2 linked regions of the Anolis sagrei genome follow. The protein of the gene in region 1 interacts with the protein of each later gene in a pairwise test. Links are inferred from orthologs where the notes say so. Each region holds a gene or a part of one and is shown on either strand. Other genes may lie near its edges. The genes, in order: KCNA3 and CAV1.

What was found.
Region 2: the proteins of KCNA3 (region 1) and CAV1 come close enough for resonance energy transfer, tested with the Homo sapiens proteins (2 studies listed by BioGRID). The link is inferred for Anolis sagrei from reciprocal best matches to the Homo sapiens genes KCNA3 and CAV1.

Annotation. Positions count from the first base shown.
Region 1 is NC_090024.1:183,293,326-183,305,874, reverse strand, and holds the start of KCNA3 (potassium voltage-gated channel subfamily A member 3), read right to left. Parts: upstream 5,394-12,549; 5' UTR 4,886-5,393; coding exon 3,083-4,885; 3' UTR 2,853-3,082; exon of another isoform or gene 1,323-2,852; intron 1-1,322.
Region 2 is NC_090025.1:131,344,135-131,356,583, reverse strand, and holds the start of CAV1 (caveolin-1), read left to right. Parts: upstream 1-6,914; 5' UTR 6,915-7,038; coding exon 7,039-7,068; intron 7,069-7,410; exon of another isoform or gene 7,411-7,493; intron 7,494-11,041; coding exon 11,042-11,206; intron 11,207-12,449. UniProt on the Homo sapiens protein: May act as a scaffolding protein within caveolar membranes. Forms a stable heterooligomeric complex with CAV2 that targets to lipid rafts and drives caveolae formation. Mediates the recruitment of CAVIN proteins (CAVIN1/2/3/4) to the caveolae.

The sequences.
Region 1 (12,549 bases):
TCTACCCCACAGACAGTAATTAGCCCAGTTCCCAGCTGGTGGAAATTACAAGATTTGATTGCAGCTCTACATAAGTGCCCCAAATAGCTGAGGACTCAGCCAAGTAATTTATCTCAGGGTGCTAGAACTGATTGAAAATGCAAAGCAGATACAGATCCTGAATGGGATCAAGAGAGATCACTGCATGCAGACTGCAATTCTAAACAAAAGGCATCAGTGTATTGTCAAAGGCTTTCATGGTTGGAATCACTGGGTTGTTGTGAGTTTTCCGGGCTGTATGGCCATGTTCCAGAAGCACTCTCTTCTGATGTTTCGCCTGCATCTATGACAGGCATCCTCAGAGGTTGTGAGGTCTATTGGAAATTGTAAAGTTAAAGGTAAAGGTTTTCCCCTGACATTAAGTCCAATCGTGTCCGACTCTGGGGGTTGGTGCTCATCTCCATATCTAAGCAAAAGAGCTGGTGTTATCCGTAGACACCTCCAAGGTCATGTGGCTGGCATAACTGCATGGAGTGTCATTACCTTCCCGGCAGAGCGGTACCTATTGATCTACTCACATTTGCATGTTTTCAAACTGCTAGGTTGGCAGAAACTGGGGCTGACCTCGGAAGCACACACCGCTCCCCAGATTTGAACCTGCGACCTTTCGGTCAACAAGTTTTGCAGTGGTTTAAACCACTGCACCACCCCATTTTCCTAGTTTCCAACAGACCTCACAACCTCTGAGGAGGCCTGCCATAGATACAGGTGAAACGTCAGGAGAGAATGCTTCTGGAACATGGCCATACAACCTGGAAAACTCAAAATAACTCAAAAGGCATCAAACCATATGCTGATGAGTTGAATCTCAGATCACTGCGGTGAAGTAATGAACCTTTCCCCTTTCCATCACTACTACATATTTTAAAACATACTGATTCTATGAAGTCTGCCTTTATCTGTCGATCACTTCGCTTTTCAAATATTTACATATTCTCACAGATGTAGTCAGTCTACCTTGTTGAATCGTAACATCACGGCTGGTATGGTTCACTAACCTGCAACGCTTAAGGTCTGGCTGATTTTGAAAGGAAATAGCAAGTAACTTTACTCTGAATCTAAAATAAAAACCAGGAGTGAATGTCATTATAAATATGATGGAAAAGCAAGTTAAAATGCTTTAAAACAAAAAAAGAAATTTAAATTCCACATGGTTGCATGTCAAATGTTTCAACAGACACCTCATAGAGGTTGGGTTTAAAATCAGTGATGGTCTCATGTTGCTGATACATCCATACATATCTTAGGAAGAGCAATGCTTCCTACAGTAGCAAACAGCTCACCTGTGTCTTCCCTGATACTCTACAGCCTCAGGTGTGTAGATGGCAGAAGATGAGCATATATTCCCAGATGGTTTAAGTTCTTCTCAGCCCCATACTTTGTGGCTCATTGGTGTTTATTTCCCTAGATTGGCATCCTCTTAAAACGTTTTGGGTCTTCTTCTTCTCCTTCAGTGCCACACATGCCTTGAAATGAATGGTCCTGTTGCATAAAACTAGGTCATGCACCATGAATTAATAAAGGTTTCGTCCTGAAGGAAGCTGGGGATGGTGCCATCTTTGATTTGCCTAGGTGGTGATGTGGTACAATGAGTAAGGATTCATTCCCAGTCTCAAATATTGGGGTATCAAATAGTAAAAGAGATTCAGGAACCTGAAGTTGCTGGTGTTTTTTGTGGAACAGGTGTTTTTTTTTTCTATCGAAACATGAGGAACGACTGATATTCTTCCTCATCTTCGTGTTTTGGCTGGCACCAGGACACCGAGAATATTGCACGTCCAAAAATGATGCACACCGAATAGCACTCAGTAGTTTCCACACTTAAATCTCTCTGGGATTACTGCCGCGCGTATGTAAGTGTGTGAGTGTGTGATTTATCGGAGCAGAGGCTTTTCTGTGGAACCACAGAAGTTGGAACCATCTGGAATGGTTGCTATGGAAACAGCACAGGAGTGGGGGAGGGAGAGACCGGATGCCATGGCAACCTCTGGGAGTTTCCCAGGAAACCAAATTGCTATGGAAACTGCATCACTCAAGTCCAAATTAGTAACTTCCGCTGCAAGGCGGGTGCATTTGCCACTTTAATCTTCTTGCGATAGATGCAACCGCTTATCTTGCATGCATTGGCAATGGATGGAAACATCCCTTTTGTTACTAGGGTTTCCAGTGGAGGCTGCAGTCTCTGCCAAGAGCCCATTGGAGATTTACTAGGAGCGGAGCAATTCACGATACGCGGAGTGCTAAACACTCAGGGCACGTTCCGGACAATCCACTGTCCATTGTACTATGGGGAGAGAGATCTTCCACTATACCATGCAGGTAAACTTTCAGGCTCAGGAAAGCAATTATTTGGTCTTGTGGCCCAAAGATACCCCAAACCACAATGGAGGTTTTTGTTCTTGTTCCATCTAAATGATTACACAAATGACCTGGGCGGATGGCACACAGACTCTAACCTGACATAAAGAAACCTGGACTGCACTCTCACATACCACACATTAGATGTTTCAACAATAGGCATCATTGTAGAACAGGATGGCAGAGATGCGCTGTGGCATTAAAATCATCACGTATATTTTTTTTCTTCACTGTCGGCAAGATGGTGACGTTCACTTTGCTGTCACTTCCTAACTTTCAGTCCAACAAGTGCAGCCAGGCAAGGAACATAAAATCAGCAACAGAACTGTTCTTTGCAAAATCAGACAACAAAGCACGTTCCCTGACAACAACAACAAAAAAAATCCCCAAAGCCCCGCATCAAACAGCGCAGAACAAAAACCTGTTCCTGGAGGAAGCGGCACGCACGTACGTACGTCTTTGAATCCTCTTATCTGTCTCCTTTCTTCACATCTGCTTGGTTCGTTTACCTTCCCCAAATCCCCATCTTCGGAAGGAAGGACGAGAAAAGTACACACATGAAACAAGAGCACAAAGACGGATGGTGGTGCATGTTCCTCACAACAACGATTATGCAGACCCTCTTGTATATATGTGTGTGTGTGTTTATATATATTTATATATTTATATCGCCTTGAAGGGTCTCTTAAACATCTGTGAAGATCTTTTTAATATTCACACAGTTGGGATTGTTTACGGCCGTGCAGTTGCCCGTCTTAAAGGCAGCCTGTTTGAATGCACTGTTGCTGATGCCTCCCTCTTCAATCACCATGTACTCGGACTTGCTGATCGTGGAATTGCTGCGAGCTTTTCTCAGCTCCTCGGTGGAGGAGAGATGCTGGCAGCTTCCTACATGCATGTACTGGGCTTGTTCTTCACCTTCTGTTTCCCGGTGATAGAAGTAATTGAAGTTGGAGACAATCACAGGCACAGGCAAGGCAATGGTCAGCACCCCAGCTATGGCACAGAGAGACCCAACTATTTTGCCCCCAATTGTGATCGGGTGCATGTCCCCATAACCCACGGTAGTCATGGTCACTACAGCCCACCAAAAGGCATCAGGGATACTACTGAAACTCGAGTTAGGATCATCAGCCTCCGCAAAGTAGACCGCGCTAGAAAAAAGGATAACTCCAATGAAGAGGAAGAAAATGAGCAAGCCCAGCTCTCGCATGCTGGCCTTGAGGGTCTGCCCCAAGATCTGCAGCCCCTTGGAGTGCCGAGAGAGCTTGAATATACGGAAGACTCTAACTAGCCGGATGACTCTGAGGATGGCAAGGGACATGGCTTGCTGGCCATTCCCTTGCCGCTCGGCCAGCTCAGTCCCCAAAGTGATGAAATAAGGTATAATGGCCACAATGTCAATGATGTTCATAATGTTCTTGGAGAAGGTGGGCTTGCTGGGACAGGCAAAGAAGCGGACAAGCAGCTCAAAGGAGAACCAGATAATGCACAGCGTCTCCACCACGAAAAAGGGATCAGTGAAAGAGGACACTATGGAGGTTGCAGGGGAAGAAGAATTCGTGAAAACGTCTGCCATGAAGGGGCCCACGCCCGTTCCAAACGTCCCTGCAATGGTATCATAGTCACGGTCATCTCTGAACTCGGGCAAGGTCTCCAGGCAGAAAATGACAATGGAGATGAGGATCACTAAGACCGAGACAATGGCGATGCCCCGCGCCGGTCCAGAACTTTCCGGGTACTCAAAGAGAAGCCACACCTGGCGCTGGAACTCCTTCTCGGGCAGAGGCCGCTGCTCCTCACGGATGAAGCCCTCATCTTCCCGAAATTTCTCCATGGCCTCCTCACCCAACTGGTAAAAGCGGATCTCTTCAGAGAAGATGTCGATAGGCACGTTCACCGGTCGCCGGATGCGGCCGCCGGACTGGTAGTAGTAGAGGATGGCGTCGAAGCTGGGCCGGTTGCGGTCGAAGAAGTACTCGTTGCGCAGGGGGTCGAAGTAGCGCATCCTCTTGCGGGGGTCGCCCAGGAGGGTCTCGGGGAACTGGGCTAGCGTCTTGAGCTGGGTCTCGAAGCGCAGACCGGAGATGTTAATGACCACCCGCTCGCAGCATTCGTGCTCACCTCCTCCTCCGCTGCCCAACATGAGGTGGTGGCCGGCGGGGGGCAGGGCGTGGACCCCCGGGTGCTCGTAGCGCTCGCCTCCCAGCAGGGCCTGGGGGTGCTGGGTGTCGTCCAGGAGGGGGTCCTCTCCCCCCACCACCGTCATGCCCCCCTCCAGCTCCTCTGCCGCCTCCTCTGCCTCCTCTTCTTCCTCTTCCCCCTCCTCCTGCCCTTCCTGCTGGAGGGCGCCCTCGGGGAAGGGCTGCTCACTGTAGCCCAGGTTGTGGTGGCTGCTGGCCCCGACGACGCCGTTCCCGCCGCCCCGGGGCTGCCTGCCAGAGGACGGGGCGGCCGGCGAGCGCAGGAGGCTCCGCTGCTCGTCCATCCACGGGGCGCGGCGGGAGCCGAGGGGAGACGCGCTCTCCCCAGACGGCTCCGCCCGGCTCTGCCACCGCCGTCGCGCGGAGGAGTCCGCCCTCGCCGCTCACGGGCTCCTCCCGCCGGAGCCACACGGAGACAGCCAAGCAGCAGCCAGCCAGCCAGCCAGCCAGGCGGGGAAGGAAAGAAGGAAGGAAGGGGCTTCTTCACCCGCACGCCGCAGCTGATGATGATGAAGGGGAACCGCCTGTTGTTGTCGCCGCCGCCGCCGCCGCCGCCGCCACTACTGGAGAAGGACAGCGAGAGAGAGAGCCAGGCGGGAGGAAGAGAAGGAAGAGGAAGAGGAAGAGGAAGGGGGAAAGAGAAGAGGAAGGAACAGAGCAGAAGCCCCCCAGGGCACAGGCGACCACGCGGACGGGGAGGCAGCGCTCCAGAATCCTCCGCTAGAGTCCCTGCCTCGCCAGACGCGTTTCTGGCGAGGATTTGAGCCAACAGAGAAGAGGAGGTCGCAGCCAACTAGAAAGGATAAGGAGCTCAGCCAACTAGAGAAGATTAGGGTCCTAACCTACTACAGAAGATGAGGATCTTGGCCAGCTAGAGAAGATTAGCATCCCAACCAACTAGAGAAGATGAGGATCTCAGCCAACTAGAGTAGATTAGGACCTCAAACAACTAGAGAAGGTAAAGATCTTGGCCAACTAGAGAAGATTAGGATCCCAAACAACTAGAGAAGGTGGGGATCTTAGCCAGCTAGATAAGATTAGGATCCCAACTAACTAGAGAAGATGAGGATCTCAGCCAACTAGAGTAGATTAGGACCCCAAACAACTAGAGAAGATGAGGATCTTGACCAACTAGAGTAGATTAGGATCCCAAACTACTACAGAATATGAGGATCTTGGTGCGCTAGATAAGATTGGGATCCCAACCAACTAGAGAAGATGAGGATCTCAGCCAACTAGAGTAGATTAGGACCTCAAACAACTAGAGAAGGTAAAGATCTTGGCCAACTAGAGAAGATTAGGATCCCAAACAACTAGAGAAGGTGGGGATCTTAGCCAGCTAGATAAGATTAGGATCCCAACTAACTAGAGAAGATGAGGATCTCAGCCAACTAGAGTAGATTAGGACCCCAAACAACTAGAGAAGATGAGGATCTTGACCAACTAGAGTAGATTAGGATCCCAAACTACTACAGAATATGAGGATCTTGGTGCGCTAGATAAGATTGGGATCCCAACCAACTAGAGAAGGTGAGGATCTCGGCTAACTAGAGAATATGATTATCCCGACTTACTAGAGAAGACAAGGACCTTGGCCAACTAGAGAAGATTAGGATTTTTTTAATTATTTATTAATTACCATATTTATACCCCACCCTTCTCACCCCAAAGGGGACTCAAAGCGGATTTACACATAGGCAACAATTCAATGGCATAAAAGCCACATACAATTAAAATAAATAATTACATTAAAACAAATAATTAAAACATCAAAATATTACACCAACTATTAAAACCATGTAATCCATGATCATAATTCAAAGTCATTCCAGTACTCATTGCACATATTTCATATCCATTTCTTGCACCATGATTATTATTCAAAGGCTCGGTCCCATAGCCATGTATTCACTTTCTTCCTGAAGGCCAGGAGGGAGGGAGCTAATCTAATATCACTGGAAAGGGAGTTCCACAGCCAAGGGGCCACCACTGACAAGGCCCTGTCTCTCATCCCCATCAACCACACCTGTGAAGGAGGTGGGACCGAGAGCAGGGCCTCCCTAGAAGATCTTAATCTCCACAATGGTTCATAGAGGGAGATACGGGTAAGCTGGGCTGGATCCCAACCAACTACAGAAGATGAGGATCTTGGCCAACTAGAGAAGAAAAGGATTCCAACCAACCATAGAAAAGGAGCATCTCAACTAATGAGAGAAGCAGATCTCAGCCAACTAGAGAAGATTAAGATCCCAACCAAATAGAAAAGTTGAGATTTCCACCATCTAGAGAAGAAAAGGATTCCAACCAACTATAGAAGAGAAGCATCTCAACCAGAGAAGATGAGGATGCAGAACTACAATTATATGGGTCCCTGTAAAGGAATGAAGCTCATATTTCAAGCCTGAACCTCTAGCATTCTTTTGGTACACTCTACAATAAGAAACAATCACTTTAAGCAAAAAAAGAAAAAAAAGAAGAAGCTTTAGGTGGAGGAGGGTCCTGTCCTCTTTTCATGCTACACTAGGGGTGTCACATAAATTAAGGAGTTGTCTTCTTCTCAAAAGTTCTTCATCCTCTTTTTCAAGGGCTGATCAACAGGGCTGTAATTCACACCAGCATTTGGCAGGAATGTGTTTTTGCAAACTGTTGCCTGGTCAATAATATGTTTGTTGTTTATTTGTTCAGTCACTTCCAACTCTTTGTGAGCTCACGGACCAGCCCACCCCAGAGCTCTCTGTCGGCTGTTGCCACCCCCAGCTCCTTCAAGGTCAAACCGGTCACTTCAAGTATGACATCCATCCATCTTGCCCTTGGCTGGCCACTCTTCCTTTTTCCCCAGCATCAATTATTATTATTATTAATTATTATTAATATTTATTAATATTAATATTTTGTGTCAATAATAATAATAATAATAATAATAATAATAATAATAATAATAAGCTTTATTTGTACTCCACCTCATCTCCCTAGAGGGACTCAGGGCAGCTTACAACCAGACAAAAAACATAGGTAGTATGTTAAAAAAATAATCATGTATTAGTTAATAAAAACAAAATAGCACAACAATATATGCATAAATAAACAACCAGTTAGAAACACTGTAAAATCCTATAAAATATTATATAGTGCAATTGAAAGCCATTCCTATCATTAGAGGATCCAGATCAGTGTTATAATAGCCGTTTAGTGAAACAAATGTCCACCAAGGAAGGCAAAAAGCAGCCCAGGAGGTTTCTGCCCCACTTTATTTCAATCCAAGTTTTGGTGGGTTGCAGTTCCTGAGCTTTTCCTGCACTGGAGGCTTCAAGATGCTTGACAAAAGTGTGAGCTGGCTCTGTCCTTAGGAAATCGAAGGGTGAAGAATGAATGCAGTTGGACACCACTTTCACTGCCCTGGATCAATGTTATGGAATCAAGGGAACTGTAGTCTTACACAGCCTTCAACCCCTTCTGACCACTATGGCAGTTAAAGTGGTGTCAAACTGTATTCATTCTACCATGTAGATCAGGCATGGGCAAACTTTGGCCCTCTGGGTGTTTTGGACTTCACCTTCCACAATTCCTGGTGTACATAATACCAAACTATCCACTAGAAACTTTAAGAGTTCAGTGAGCCGAAATTTAATTGAAGCTGTACACACGAAAACCATTGGTATTAATAAATAAATGAACAGATTCAAAGTGTGTGCAAGAATTCATATCTGAAGTGGCTAAAATATTTTAAACATGGGCCACAATTCAGAGACTGATCACTTTTTGCATGTTAGAAGTCCCCAGTTCCATTCTTCATATATCCAGATGGAGCTAGGACAGAGCTCCCACTTCCACAAACAGCTATTGTTCCCACTGAGCAGGAGACACCCATGTCTTTCCCTCTGCTGACATTGCAGGTTATAGTGAGTGCCATGAATATGTAGCCCAAACCCTGCCAGTGTCCTCCATAAACACCATACTGCCCCCCACCCAAGTGAAGGCTCTCATGCAGGGACAATTTCATCCTAGATGTTCTGTTTTTCGTCCACATCCCATGGTTCCTATCTCTCTCCATTGCTGTGGAATTTGCATGATCCCACCCACTGCCTCTCCATTAACCCTTTCCTACCCTTTGCTATGGCACACAACAAACAGAGGAATTGATCAGCAACTGAACAAGAAGTTTGGGGAAAATTCACCATGATTTACAGGAGTTGTACTTGACCTACATCCAGAGAGCACTGTTAACCCAACTAACGATGGATCTGGATCAAACTTGCAATGGGTAATAGGAGTTGCAGTACCTTCACTGATGCTGTGATCCCCACCGACAACTGACTGGGACCAAACTTGGCACAGAGAAGCCCCATGACCAACTGAACATACTGCAGGGGTTTGGGGGAATGGGTATTGATTTTGGGAATTGTAGTTCACTTGCATCCAGAAAGCACTGAACCCAGTCAACATCAGATCTGGACCAAACTTTGCACACAGACTCAACATGGCCCACTGTGCATACAAGCCTGGTTTGGAAGTGATTGACCTTGGATCTGAGAGTTGTAGTTCACCTTTATCCAGAGAGGGCTGAATCCAGCCAACAATGGATCTGGACAAACATGATACACAGACCCAACATGGCCAACTGTGAATACTGTCAGGGTTTGGGGGTGATTTCCCTGGGGATCTGGGAATTGTAGTTCACCCTTATCCAGAGAGCACTGAACCTAGCCACTGACGGATCTGGACCATCCCAAAACAAACAATGTCTTCTTCTAATAACCCAGGCACTGCCATATCCCCGAGCTAATAATATATAAATGAAATATTTTCATGAGATATGTTGTTACCAATGCATTTTGTTATTACAATTTATGTATGTATCCAGATCTCTCAGAAAAGATTGATTTCACTTCTGGTTTGCTAATAAAACTGAATGGCTATGTCATGAAATCATGCATGTCTACAAAGCATGTCACCAACAGGAAATGTTGGGAAAGCTCTACTCTGGAATCTTAGTAATATATGGAGCCAGGGCAAGTACATAATTCTGAATTAGTTAGACAATTCATATGATTGTATGCACACACTGCAGCTGCAGCTGTGGCAAATGTTCTTTTAACAGCAATGAGCTTCTCTTGAGAAATTTTGGTCGCACGCATACAATATGCATGCATAATATCAAATATATATGCGTGAACCTCTTTACTTCATGTCGTGGGAAACAGGGCTCATATGCAAGTGAGTATTTTTATTCTACATTCTCTAATTCCTCTCCCTCCCCATGTTTTTGTATAGTGGAATATTTCAGTGGTTGTTAAAAATAATTTTACACAAAACACTTCCTCCACTGTCATCCCTCCTCCACAGTACTGCTTTGCACATTTTCAATAATTGCAAAAAGATGCCAGGAGGAGTGGAGAAAGCACAACGACAACACAAGAAATAAGAGCAAGTTGCATATGAGTCAGCAGTGTGATGTGGCTGCAAAAAGGGCTAATGTGATTTTAGACTGCATTAATTGAGCTAAAGCTTCAAAATGACAGGAAATATTTTGCTTTATTTCCCCTTAGTCAGAGCTCAGTATTTTGTCTCTTTGTAGATTCTGCTCTTTAAAAAAGATGCAAATAGACTGGAATTCAGAAGAGGACGGTGAACTTTCGAAAATAAACCTGTATCAAAATATTTATATCCTATCCTTTATCAACAGGTCTCTGGGTGACTTACAAAAAAACCCCAAATTAAACCATCTAAAATGTAAGGCAATAACAGGTTTAAACATTCCAAAATCATATTAAACTACTGACATTTTAAAGAAAAATTAAAGCAGGAGAAAACACTGGGGACCCTTCCACACAGTCCTATATTCCAGAATATCAGGGCAGAAAATCCTCAGATAATGCAGTTCAAAGCAGATATTGTGGGATATTCTGCCTTAATATTCTGGGATATAGTGCTCTGTGGAAGGTCCATGAAAGATGGAAGTAATTACACAGAGAAATGTGATGCCTAGTGCAAGTGATGCACAACGTGTGGCCTTCCAGGTATTTGGGATTACAACTCCCAGAAGCACTACCCAGAGTGACCAAAGGTCAGGAATTCTGGGAGCTAAAGTTGAAAAAACCTGGAAGGCCACAGGTTGTACACCACTAACCTAGGGCCCTTCCACAGAGTCCTACATCCCAGAATCTCAAGGCAGAAAATCCCACATTATCTGCTTTGAACTGGAATATGTGGCAATGTGGACACAGATAACCTAGATCAAAGCAGATACTTAGTAACATAGTTACAAGATTTGTGGATATGATGCCTGACTGTAAAATGCCATTTAAACTTTCCCCAGCCTCAAAGACACAAGTCCTCTGTTGGGTTGCAATTCTCATTATTTGCAGTCCACATGCAGATAACCAAAAGTGATGAGAATTATTGTTCAATAACACCTGGAGACCCAAATTCGGAAAAACTAAATAGCAGCAACCCACTACATCAAAACGTTATTGTTGGCCCTCTGTGACTATGGATTCTCTGTGGATTCAACAGCCTTTTGTAGGCAACTATAAGGTTGCTTTGGTCCTTGATGAAAATAAATTTGACACTCCTGGTCTACAAGATCCCTTCCAACTCTTGATTCTGTGAGTTAGGGAACAACAGCAAGTAGCAAGATGCATTTCTTTAGGGGTGATCTTTGTTTCTCATCTTAAATTTTTGGAAATGGGGAGTTAAAAGAAACTGTGAAGGATAGGATATGTGACTAGGAACTGTTTCCTCCAACTTTTGTTGCTCCTAGCAGAACATTGTTTCACCCCATGGTGATCCTGAGCCCTTTGGGAGACATCCTGTTAACAGCAGATAAACATTTAAATCAGGTTAAGGAGACCAGCACTATTCCTCATGTTGCCCATTAGGCAGAAATGTGTTTTCGCAAACTGTTGCCTGGTCAATGCAATGACCTGGTTGCTTTTATAGTACTTACTACTTAGGCAATGAATTAAAGTCACAATCTGTCCTTTAATTGGGGTGTCCTACTTTCTTATATACTGAATATGAACATTGCGTTATTGCTTTTCCTGCAATCTCATTTTTAGTTTTTTAGATTGCATACTCACTCATTGGGATAGAGGTCATTGTCTATCTTTCTCTTAAGCTGTAATCGTATACAGTTATTTGAGCAAAGTAAGGACTTACCTTTAACTGTAATTGAAAAGGGAGGTGCAGCAATCAGGGTGATGGTGTTAATGTTGCACATCAACAAGGCAGAATCACGAAAATGTAATTCTTGCACCATGTTTGTGACATAAACATGGCAAAATGAATAATTTGTCTAGCCTTTAGAGCCAATGGGACTACTGATGGCATTGAAAAACTATATTTCATAGTACTTTTGGAGATCATCGCAAGGCTGTAACAGTAAACATAATACTTTCCCACTGAACAATGAGATTTGACGACTGAACAAGATCACCTTTTACTCCCCTCTCAAATTACACCTGGTTATTTATCTGGATGACTCCTCTGACATTGATGGGAGCAGACTAGCTAAATCCCATTCATCATTTTATGTAGAAAGTTACAACTCAGTACAAGGAGAGCCATTTTAATATTCTAAAAGTATGATTACAGTGTGGGATTATGCTGGCTAAACAATGTTAATTCATATTTCAGCATAATGGAGATCATGTTAAAGGACTATTACAATAGCAACAAAGGATATGCAGTAAGTCTGCTATTCTCTTGTTACATGTCGTTATTCTATCATAAGATAAAAGATCATGTTTGCAGAGCAATTTAATCACATTGCAAAGCAAAGCAGTGTAATCCGCAGCATTACACTGGTTAGAAAGTCCATAGGAATGAATGAACACCTCATATAATAAAGACCGAAGGACATTATGTTGACCTTGAAGCAAGCTTTTAAAACATTTATCCTGGTGTCTTTTGGATATGGCCACAACATCAGTGCCGAGTCACTAGGAAT
Region 2 (12,449 bases), on another chromosome or scaffold:
TTTACACTAACCATTTAATGCAACTTCAATATGACCTGAAACTGTGGCAGCTATAAAATGTATATCACCAATGCACTATACAACAGTGATTAAAAGGGTTATAGTGCATTTAAGAAAGACGCAGGAAAGTGCAAGATAAGCCCTTTAATGTGTTTCAGCAGATTCCAATACATACCAGATCAAAAGCTGAAATTGATTCTGCAAGATATGAAGCTCATTTTAGACACCTGCCCTCGCTCATGCACTTTGCATGAGAATTCAGAAAGCAGGGGCAAGGGGCCTACTAATAAATATCCGAAGAGCATGGCTGCCTGGCAGGGGACTAACTGACCCCCTGGGAGGGGTAACTAACCCCTACGTTCCCTTTTTTTTCACCTCCTATGCACATCTTCCTGGAAATGGGGGGGGGGGCAGATGTTTGAACCTAGGTTCTGTGATTAATGTAATCAGCTTCCTGGCCTCCAACCAGTTCCAGACCTATCTATCTAATCAGCCACACAACAAAACCTGTTGCTCCCAAATTGATTCCAGAATGACCTAAATCCCAAAGTGACCCGAAGACATACTCACCTCTAAGATATTCCAGCCAATACATTTGGACATAAAACTGTCATTTCCTCCAGTGAGTATTATTTGAACATAAATTTGGATGTTATTTTATTTTTCTGTATGGCCAAAATAATTCAATTTGTATTTGTTTCCATAAGACTGGATCTTTCATAACAAAAAAAGTGTGCTGGGACTTCATAGTAAAGGTTAAGGTTAAGGTTTTCCCCTGACATTGAGTCCAGTTGTGTCCGACTCTGGGGATTGGTGCTCACCTCCATTTCTAAGTCCATAGATACCTTCAAGGTCATGTGGCTGGCTGCATGGAGCGCCATTACCTTCCCGTCAGAGCAGTACTTATTGATCTACTCACATTTGCATATTTTCAAACTGCTAGGTTCGCAAAAGCTGGTGCTAACAGTGGGAGTTCACACCGCTCCCTGAATTCCAACCTGTGACTTTTTGGTCAGCAACTTCAGCATCTCAGTGGTTTAACCCACTGCACCACCAGATGACTTTATAGTTTGCAGAAAAGAAGATTTAATCTCATTGTAAGTTTGCTCGTTCTGTGCTGCTCAACTCACCATAGCAAAGGCATCAGTCGATTTGTCAAACGTTTTCACCAGTACAACGATAGCTGCATTTCTGTAAGTGAGTACAGATTGATTTTGCAGGACAGGCAATAATGTAGTTTACACAGAAATGGTTGCAGAGGTGAGTCACTTCCTGGTTATAGTTTATTCATATTTCCCATTCGAACTTAAGCAGCTTATCCTGTCTCTCTCTCTCCAGATACCATCATCCTTCATTGTCTGCTCTGGAATGTCTCGCCCTGAATATATAAACTCTGCCACCATCAAAGATTCCTTTTTGCAGTTCCATGTGGTGCACACAGAACAGAATGTGCCAGTTTTGGACCAAATCTTAACATTAATAGAGGAATGGGGCCTGGCCCAAGTTCTTCTGTTACCAGGGTCAGGAGTGAAGATGGCGATCTCTAGCTAGAGCTACACTGCCCAGTATCTGATCCCAGATTATCTGCTTTGAACTGGGTTATATGAGTCTACAATGCCAGATAATCTAGGATAAGCAAATAATCAGAGATCAGATCCTGGTATACAGTTCAGGTTGCATCACTCTTGAGTGCTTCTAGACCAGTAGTTCCCACCAATGGTCTGTAAGAACAAAAATATGGTCCATGACTTCACCATTGCTATACTGTTGCCTTGAAACCATGTAGCAACAAGAGCAACTGGTCTCTCAAAACCCTCTTATAGTGCCGAGGCAATGGAAATGTCAGGAGGAGAGAGGCTGATGGAAGATTACTACTACCACATCAGCTCTAAATTATTAAATATGGTTTTCTGTGGCTGAACAGATGGCGATTATTGGGTGGCATATGTTCTGTATCAGAAACTAGAGCTGATGTGGTCTATCCAATGTAATTTTCTGAATCAGCACCCTAAATAACCAAGCCAAATCTAAAGTTGACCAAAATCGGATTCATAACCCTTTTGGTACTAATGTTGGAGAGTGGTCCCTGGTCAAAGTGGTCCCTCATCAAAAAAAGGTTGGGAACCACTGACCTAGACTGTAGAAGTAATGCAGTTTTCTACCACTTTGACTGCCATGACTCGATGGTATGGAATTTTGGGTGTTGTAGTTTGACAATCTCTTATCAAACTACAACTTCCAGGATCCCACAGCATTGATCTGGGACAGTTAAAGTGGTGTCAAACTGTATCCATTCTACAGTGTAGACATGCCCTCTGTCTAATTGTGATCTTGGTGTGAAGACCAAGCTTTGTGCATTTTATCCCAAAACATAAATCTTTCCACATTCGTCTCCTTTTTTCTCTTTGCTGTTTTCTAGTTGTTTGGTTCTGAATGCATTTTAACAGGAAGAATGTGGAGTCCCAAAAAAGGTTAGATTGTACATTTTTAAATTTCATAATTCCATATTTAGATCTTTGTGTTATAAAGGCTATCCATGGGAGAGATTTTGAAGCACAGAAATAGAAAAGCCTATTTATTTGTCTGTGCCTTCAAGCTGCTTCTGACTTATGATGACCCCAGGGCAAACTTACCATGGTTAGTCAGATTTATTCAGAGGGGGGGTTGCTTTGCCTTTCTGACTTATGATGACTCACCCAAGGCTATCCAATAGGTTTCCAAAGTAAATAATACATTTTTTGTTACATAAAAGTGCATTTTTCACTGTGACATATGACCAGAAAACCTCTCTTTAGTGCAATCAGTATGGCTATATCTACATTGCCATATAAAATCCAGATTTTCTGCAATGAAATATATGACAGTGTAGACTCATATAATGCAGTTCAAATGAGATAATGTGGATTTATCTGTTTAGATAATCTGGATTATATGGCAGTGTAGATCCAGCCTATGTCTATGCTGACAGGAAGGTTCTGGGACAGGTAGGCCAAAAAAGTTTTTTTTTTCTTATCTCTAACAGATATATTGATAATGAACATCTGTATCCAGCTACTACATTTGAGCTTATTTTACTGCATTTTTACCCTGTTCTATCTCAACCCCGAAGGGGACTCAGAGCAGCTTCCAAATTGATAATATTCAATGCCACATTAAACATAAAAACATACAAATACAGAATACATTATGCATTAAAAACATTGAAATTCATAAAAGCAATGGCGTATAAATACATTACATTGACTGTTAAACATGGCACGTAGACCCAAAATCATAATCCAGAAACCATTCCAAATTACATTATAGTCCATTCACTTCATAGCTGCATGTTACCCTGTACTACTCTCCAAACGCTTGGTCCCATAGCCAGGTATTAACTTTTTATCTAAAGGACAGGAGGAAGGGAGCCGATCTGATTTCACTAGGAAGGGAGTTCCACAGTAGAGGAGCCACCACTGAGAAGGCCCTGTCCCTTGTCTCCACCAGTCGCACCTGTGAAGAAGGTGGGATCGAGAAGAGTCCCCCCAGAAGACCTTAGCATCTGGGCTGGTTCATAGAGGGAGACAGGTAAGCAGTCAGAACCATTTAGGGTTTTATAGGCTAAAGACAGTATTTTGAATTGTGCTCGGTAGCAAATTGACAGTCAGTGGAGGCAGGGGGTGGATTGTATGCTCTCTGTACACCACTGGTGAGCAATCTGGCTGCCTCCCGTTGGACATTCTTCAAAGGCAACCCCACATAGAGCGTCTTGCAGTAGTCTATTCAAGATCTTGACATCAATCAGTCATCAGCAAAAGTGAAATATCAAAGTAGGATACAGGGTGCTAAATGGTCTCTATAAAGTCTGAAACGTAATTTCTTGGAAAACTCTTAAGCATATTCGAAATTCAAAATAATATTAGGGCTTTTTTAAAACTCCAGGCTACTTTTTTCACTCTCTTTCTCTCTTTTAGGCAGAACCAGGAACCACGCCCTGAATTCCATGCTTCCCCTATGAGCAATCATCATCTTCTGCTTTGCCTTTCCATGCCAGGGTTTATCCTCACCAGCAGCACTTAAATGAACATGAAGGGACAGATCTTACTGTTGAATTGTGAGGTAGAAAGACTTTTTAAGGAGAGATTTCTGCAAGTTTACACCAATCCTGGCCTTTCCCCAGGCTTAAAGAACAATACAAAAGGCAAACATGTAATAAAATGGGCTGGCACAAGCAATCATTCTGAAATCCATTTGATGGTAAGGATTTGGATGAGGATTCAGAGCTGGAGAAAATCTGCAATGTTTTTGAAATGAACCAGCAGGGACCAAAGTCTCCTTCTAGTTTGACTCCATAGATCTACTGCTTTAGGGATAGAAATAACCACACAGAAAAAAAATGAAGCTTTTACTTTGGTTGACATGAAATGCAAATTCTATGGTGCATAACGTTTGCCTTGGCTCTGAGCTGAAACACCATAAATCCTTGTAACTGCCTATCATCACAGGAGCCATCCCAAGACATTTTGACATCTGAGTCAAAGTATATCATGGTTTATCCCTTTCCTTATTGTCACATATAGAAGCAAAGTGACCATTGGAACTGACTTCAACACTGGCAGTGGTCAAAGGTCCCAGGCTTTATGTTTGTTGTGGGATGGCAATCATGTGACCTTCCAGATACCATCTGGAATATAACTCCCAGAATTCATCACCACTGGCTATGTTGGCTTCTACCATGCCATATAAAATCCAGATTATCTGCTTTGAACTGGATTATATGGCAGTGTAGACTGATATAATTCAGGCCAAAGCAGATAATCTGGATTTTATATGGCTGTTTAGATGGGGCCTAGGACTGCCTGTGAGCTGCAAACTAAAAACATCGGGGGGGGGGCACTCTTCTCTTGGAAGAAAAGAGGCTGACAAGACAGGTATCTTGGATGCTGACGCAGGGTCAGAACGGAGGGAACTGGGGATAGTGGCATGAGGAGAAGAGTCAAGTGCCAAGTACGGATAGCAGCGGATGAGGGCCAGTCTGGGAACATACCATAACATTTCCAAAGCGGTCGGTGAAGTATTTTGGGAGATTTAAGGTTTAGAATCTTTAAAATCATAAAATATGCAGTATAGCATGTGTTGCTTGCCCGTCCAGCAGATGGCAATGTTTTTGAAGCAAAGCATATTTTTACCTGTCACAGGTATGACATCTATATAATAGTATGTATGTGAAAACATAAAACTATTCACCTGTTCAAATGTTACGTTGTGTCAAAATTTCAAAACAATCAGTGAAGTTTTTTTGGGAGATATAAGGTCATGAACAAACGGACATTTACATTTTTATTTATATAGATTGGTTATTATTGCATCATGTTAGGTTTTTCATATGAATGTTAAGTATTGAATTTTGCCGTGAATATGTTGGAAACCACTTTGAGTCCCATCCAGTGAGCCCCCCCCCCCCCCTCAAGATAAACATGCATTGAGAAAACCAAAGTCGTCTTCCAGCAGTCAGCAGCCAACACCTCTCAGATGCCAGAATTACAGCTTAATGGTGTAATATTAGAAAATGTTGACCATTTCTGCTACCTTGGCAGCCACCTCTCCACCAAAGTTTGGCACTGACACCGAAATACAACACCTCCTGAGCTCTGTGAGTGCAGCATTTTTCCGAATGAAGCAGAGTGTTTGCGGACCGGGACATCCGTATGGATACCAAGGTGCTTTTTTATAAAGCTTTTGTCTCCCCAACCCTGCTATACGCCTGTGAGATGTGGACTGTCTACAGACGTCACATGCAAATATTCCATCAGCGCTGCCTCTGGAAAATCCTGCAAATCTCTTGGGAAGACAAGTGGACAAATGTCAGCATGCTGGAAGAAGCAAAGACCACCAGCATTGATGTGATGGTCCTCCACCATCCTCCGCCATCAACTTCACTGGATGGACCACATTGTTCAGATGCCCAACTGTCATCTCCCAAAGCAGTTGCTCTACTCCGAACTGAAGAACGGAAAACAGAATGTTGGTGGGCAGGAAAAGAGATTTAAAGACGGGCTGGAGGTCAGCTGTGACCAACAGTGCTGTAGAATTTGAAAAGTCAGGAATGGAGGGAGAAAGCATGCCAAGAGGAAGGTGCGTCAAGCCAACCCCGACCAGGACCGCCTTCCACCTGGAAACCAATGCCCTCACTGTGGGAGAAGATGCAGATCAAGAATAGGGCTCCACAGTCATCTAGGGACCCACTGCCAGGACATTGATCTTGGAAGACTATCCTACTCAGAGGAGGGATCGCCTAATAAGTTAAGTAAGCACATCAACACTGATAATGAAACAAGAAAGACTGGGTCCCCTTAAGCATAAAGAAATTACATATATTAGAAACCATTACTTTATTTTCCAGTTCACCAAACTGGGCCACAGCAACGAGTGGCAGGGGACGGCTAGTAAATAAATAAGTAAATAAATAGGACCACAAGTCAGCTTCCTCCCTGGAGCTTCTCATCTACCTGAAGCGGTTGCCTCACTCTCCTGCATAGGTGGGCTCTGCCAACATCAAAAGCTGGGTCATCTGAGGTGCTTTTGATTTTTTGGTCAGCACAGTTGGAAGTGCAGAGGAGAGGGCGGGAGGTTCCTTCTGTGAACGGTCCAAAACACACACAGCCAGCCTTGCAAACTATGGAAAACCTCGCCAAAGCCCCAGCAACGGCTTCCCCCGGCATGTTGTCCCCCGCAAAGCCACGCGTGTGTACTTATTTTCCAAGCAAGGCTGGCCTCAAGTTTCCCAAAAGGAAAGAGAGAGAGAGAGAGGGAGGGGAATAAAAGCAGGCGAGGAGGCAAGATCTCCATGAGATGCCCCCCAAACCCTTTCCTCCTCCTCCTCCTCCTCCCCTTCCTCCTCCAAGCCTAGAACAAGCCCTTGGCGGGTGTCCAGGCGCATAACTTGGAGAGATACCTCCCACTCGCGGGTGGGAAGGGAAAGAAGGGGGGGTTGAACACAATACACGATCTTCCTTCTTTGGGCGCTGGGAATTATAACTCGCGCCAGTCGGGGACAGCATGTCTGGGAGCAAATACGTGGACTCCGAGGTAAGAAGGACTTCGCCTTCTCTCTCTTTTTGAGTTGTTGCTGCTGCAAAGTGGATGGTTTGCTTTCGGTTCCTGGCACCTCAAGGACCTGCTCGAGCCCTCGCTGAGGACTCTTGGCTCTTCCCTTATCTCTTTCTCTCTCGCGCGTACACACACTCCCCCTCTCGCTCTCTCCTCCAAAGCTGGAACAAGACGTAAGAGAGGTGTTTGGGGTGTTTTTTTGTGTGTAAAGTATTATTTGCCTGGCTTGGTAATCCGATCTGCTGGCGGGGCACTTGTTTTCACTCCCCCCCCCCCCCTTTCCAGTCCGATATCCACTCCCTCCCCACTTACCCGCTTGGCTCTCCCTGTCCGGGCTTCTTTCTCCAACTAAACTGCAGTGGAGGAGGATTTCTAAAGGAGAGAGGAAGAGGGACTCCTTTGCAGTAAGTGCTGGAGGGAAGGGAAGAGGGAGATGGGGTGCCCTCGGGCTTCTTTGCCAATATCACTTCCCCAGTGCCAGCAGCACTCACTGGCGGGGCTGCCCTTAAAGCTTTTGGCGCCAATCTGTCCCAATTGAGTGAGGGCTCTCCTATTAGGATGTTCCATCTCTGTGGGATTGTCCCTCAGGTTAAACTCCCCGTGGCGCAATGGGTTAAACCCATTGCCGGCAGGACTGAAGACCGACAGGTCGTAGGTTCGAATCCGGAGCGAGCGCGGATGAGCTCCCTCTGTCAGCTCCGGCTCCCCATGTGGGGACATGAGAGAAGCCTCCTGCAATGGGTTAAACTCTTGTGCCGGCAGGACTGACAGGTCGTAGGTTCGAATCCGGGGACAGCGTGGATGAGCTCTCTCTGTCAGCTCCAGCTTCCCATGCGGGGACATGAGAGAAGTCTCCCGCAGTAGGTTAAACATTTTTCCCAGCAGGACTGAAGACCTGACAGGTCATACGTTCGAAACTGGGGAGAGTGTGGATGAGCTCCCTCTGGCAGCCCCAGCTCCCCATGTAGGGACATGAGAGAAGCCTCCCGCAGTGGGTTAAACATTTTTTCCGGCAGGACTGAAGACCTGACAGGTCATACGTTCGAAACTGGGGAGAGTGTGGATGAGCTCCCTCTGTCAGCTCCAGCTTCCCATGCAGGAACATGAGAGAAGTCTCCCGCAGTCGGTTAAACATTTTTCCCAGCAGGACTGAAGACCTGACAGGTTATACGTTGGAATCCGGGGTGGATGAACTCCCTCTGGCAGCCCCAGTTCCCCATGTGGGGACATGAGAGAAGCCTCCCGCAGTGGGTTAAACATTTTTCCCATCAGAATACCTGACAGGTCTACAGCTCCAGCTCCCCATGTGGGGACATGAGCGAAGCCTCCCACAAGGATGGTAAAACATCAAAATATCCGAGCACCCCCTGGGCAATGTCCTTGCAGACAGCCAATTCTCTCACACCAGAGGCGACTTGCAGTTTCTCAATTCGCTCCTGACACACACAAAACCTCTTATCCTTTCAAGTTCCTTCTCCATCTCTTTCTAAGTGTTGGTATTTGTTCCGTTTCTAAAAGTGTTCCTCCTCATTTCCACTTCGCACCCAGCGGGTGAGGCTGAGAGGTAAGGTACATCCACTGTAGAATTAAGGGACTTGGACAAGCCAATGAAGATGATGATGATGATGATTTTTTCCATGTCAAGAGTGACTTGAGAAACTGCAGGTCGCTTCTGGTGTCTTCAAAGATGTTGCCCAGGGGACACCCAGATGTTTGATGTTTTACCATCCTTGTGGGAGGCATCTCTCATGTCCATTCATGGGGAGCTTGAGTTGACAGAGGGAGCTCATCCACGCTCTCCCCAGATTCAAGCCTATGACCTGTCAGTCTTCAGTTCTGCCAGCACACCACCAGGGGCTCCTAAGATGATGATGATGCCTTATACTTCCATTTTCTTCAAGAGTTTTTAAGGGTGCATCGACATTGTGGAATTATTGCAGTTGGTTACCACTTTAACTCCCTTGGTCCCATGCTGTGGGATCCTGGGATGTGTAGTTTGGTGAGGCACCAGCACTCTTGGGCAAAGAAGGCTCAAGACCAGAGGTTCTCAACCTTTAGTTCTCCAGGTGTTTTCTGTTTGCTTCTGGAGCACACCAAGAAATAGTTTCCTAAGATCCACTGTTCAGATATCAGCCAGCAAGCCAATGTCTTAAATCAAGCTTCCTAAGAACTATAGAGACACTCACAGGGACCCCTCAGCAAGCGAGAAACCAAAAGTGGCAGGCTAAAACCACAAAGCTCAAGCCACAAAGCAAATACTGGGCAACTTGAAAAGCACTGAACAGGCTGTGCTCTGACATCATGAGATGCAGAACCAACCTTAAGAAATAGGGCCACCAAGTGGAGTCCACGACATGTGTGTGTGGAGAAGAGCAAACCACAGACCACCTATTACAATGCAGCCTGAGCCCTGCCGCATGCACAATGGAGGACCTTCTTATAGAAACACCAGAGACACTCCAAGATTTTTTACAATTTTTTGCCCCCCCCCCCCAGGATAAATAAATCCAGATGTTTTGGACTTCAGCTCCCACAACTCCTAACAGCTGGTAAACTGGTTGGGATTTCTGGGAGTTGAAGTTCAAAACAGCTGGAGAACCACAGGTTGAGGACCACAGCTCAAGACCTTGTGAAGCTACATCTCTCCTGATCCCATAGCATTGAGTCAAGGCAACTGAAGTGGTGTCCAACTGCATTCATCCCACAGTATAGATGCACACTGGGCTCTTAGCTGGGAGGGGCCTTGTATGTCCAAGATCCCAGTTGTGGGGTAGTGTATGCAGGCAGTCCACCAAAGTGTCTGCAAGGAGTCGTGGAGGAGGTTTTGTTTGCGTTTTCTGAACCCATCAAATGGAACTGCAAGGTGTGGTCAAGGAGGACTCTTTTTATCTCAACCCCAGAAAGATTCCTCTCTTCTAAAGCCCCGGGGAACCTTTTCGGGAGTTTGTTTTCCTTCTGTCCTTTGCCCTGTTGCTTCCTCTGAGCTTCCACTTGGATCAAGAAGGGCCAAGGGGCTTCTCAGCCCTTGAGAACAAAAAGAGAGAGGTTTGGAGTTGGCTTGAGAGTTGATGGAAGAGATATGAAGAGAAGGGAATGCTAAATAGATATTTAAAAGACCTAATCACACTAGAGAATGAATCCACTTTAAATCTGGTTGCTGCAGAATTCTAGGGTTTGTAGTTTAGGGGGGAGCCTTTAACAGCCTCACTAAACTACAAACCCCAGCATTCTGCAAGAGGCAGCAACCGGCTTCAAAGTGCATGCATTCTCAAGTGTGATGAGGAAAAAAGTCACTGTTGGCCGGCTTCCCATTGGGGTTAGAATCCCAGTGAGTTCTAATTCTAATTCCTGCCAATTCGGGGGGGATATAATTCGGAGTAAAGGCAGTGCCGGTCGCTTAGGATCAGGAAGCAATGTTGGAGAGGGGTGTGTGTGTTACGCGCCGGGACAGAAAGTGCCAGATTGCGTCGAGGCGCGTCTTGGAAACCGACGGATCCTTTCCTTGAGGAAAGATCCCTGGAAGGGAAGAAAGATCCAGCCCCGAGGAGACTTTGAGGGGCTGGAGGCTGGCGAAAGTGCCAAGGCTTGGGGTGCAGGGGCGGGGCGGGGCAGCGGCTGACACCCTTCCCGTCCTTTGCGCATTTGGAGAGGTCGGACCCCTGGCGGCGGCTCGGCTTGGTACCGAGGGGTGGGGTGTAGGAGGCATTTATATATGCATTCTAATCCCAGAGAGCCAGCCGTGGGGGCCTTCCCGGGATGAAGCTCCTCTCTGCTCTCTTGCCAAGCTGCTTTGGACACCCCACCACCCGGGAGTGAAACTTGCTTTGGGCTTTTTGAGCCCCGTCTCCAAGCAGCGCCTTTGCCCACCCCCGGTGCCAGCCTCTCTCCAGGAAGCAGCTCCCTCCAAGGGCTCCGGATTGAGAGCTTGATCCCCTCACTCTTTCTTTCCTAGGATTATAGCTACACCGCGCCCATCCGGGAGCAAGGCAACATCTACAAGCCCAACAACAAAGCCATGGCCGATGAGATGAACGAGAAGGAGTACCACGACGTCCACACCAAGGAGATCGACCTAGTCGACAGGGACCCCAAGCATCTCAACGACGACGTCGTCAAGGTAAGAAGCCTCCGGATCTTTTCAGTATCCCAAGCCCACCATCAACATTTTTTTCCCCTTCAAGTGAGAAAAATAAAGTGGGAAAGAAAGGGAGTTTAAGGGTCAGTGAGTGCAGTTTGACACCTTAACTGTCAAGGCTCAATGCTATGGAATCCTGGGAGCTGTAGGCTGGATCTACACTGCAATTTAAAATCCAGGTTATTTGCTTTGAACTGGATTATATGGCAGTGTAGACTCATATAATCCAGTTCAAAGCACATAATGTGGATTATCAATTTTGATGATCTGGATTATATGGCAGTGTAGACTCATATAATTCAGTTCAAAGCACATAATGTGGATTATCAATTTTGATGATCTGGATTATATGGCAATGTGGACTCATATAATCCAGTTCAAAGCACATCATGTGGATTATCAATTTTGATGATCTGGATTATATGGCAATGTGGACTCATATAATCCTGTTCAAAGCACATCATGTGGATTGTCAATTTTGATAATCTGGAATATATGGCAGTGTAGACTCATATAATGCAGTTCAAAGCATATAATGTGGATTATCAATTTTGATGATCTGGAATATATGGCAGTGTAGACACATATAATCCGGTTCAAAGCACATCATGTGGATTAGCAATTTTGATGATCTGGAATATATCGCAGTGTAGACTCATGTAATGCGGTTCAAAGCATATAATGTGGATTATCAATTTTGATGATCTGGAATATATGGCAGTGTAGACTCATATAATCCAGTTCAAAGCACATCATGTGGATTAGCAATTTTGATGATCTGGAATATATCACAGTGTAGACTCATATAATCCAGTTCAAAGCACTTCATGCGGATTATCAATTTTGATAATCTGGAATATATGGCAGTGTAGACTCATATAATCCAGTTCGAAGCACATCCTGTGGATTATCAGTTTTAATGAATCTTGATTATATGGCAGTGCAGAGACATCTGTAGTTTGGAGAGGCATCAGCACCCTTGGGCAGGGAAGGCTAAAAACCGTAGATGTACCCTGAGGCCCTTTCTACACTGCCCTATAATCCAGTTTTTCAAAGCAGATAACCCACATTATCTGACTTGAACGGGATTATATTCATCTACACTGACAGATAATCCAGTTCAAAGCAGATAAACTGGATTTTATATAGTCTGAGATTTTTTCCTGTCTCAGGAGCAACTTGAGAAACTTCAGCTGACAGATGGAAGCTCACCCCACTCCCTGGA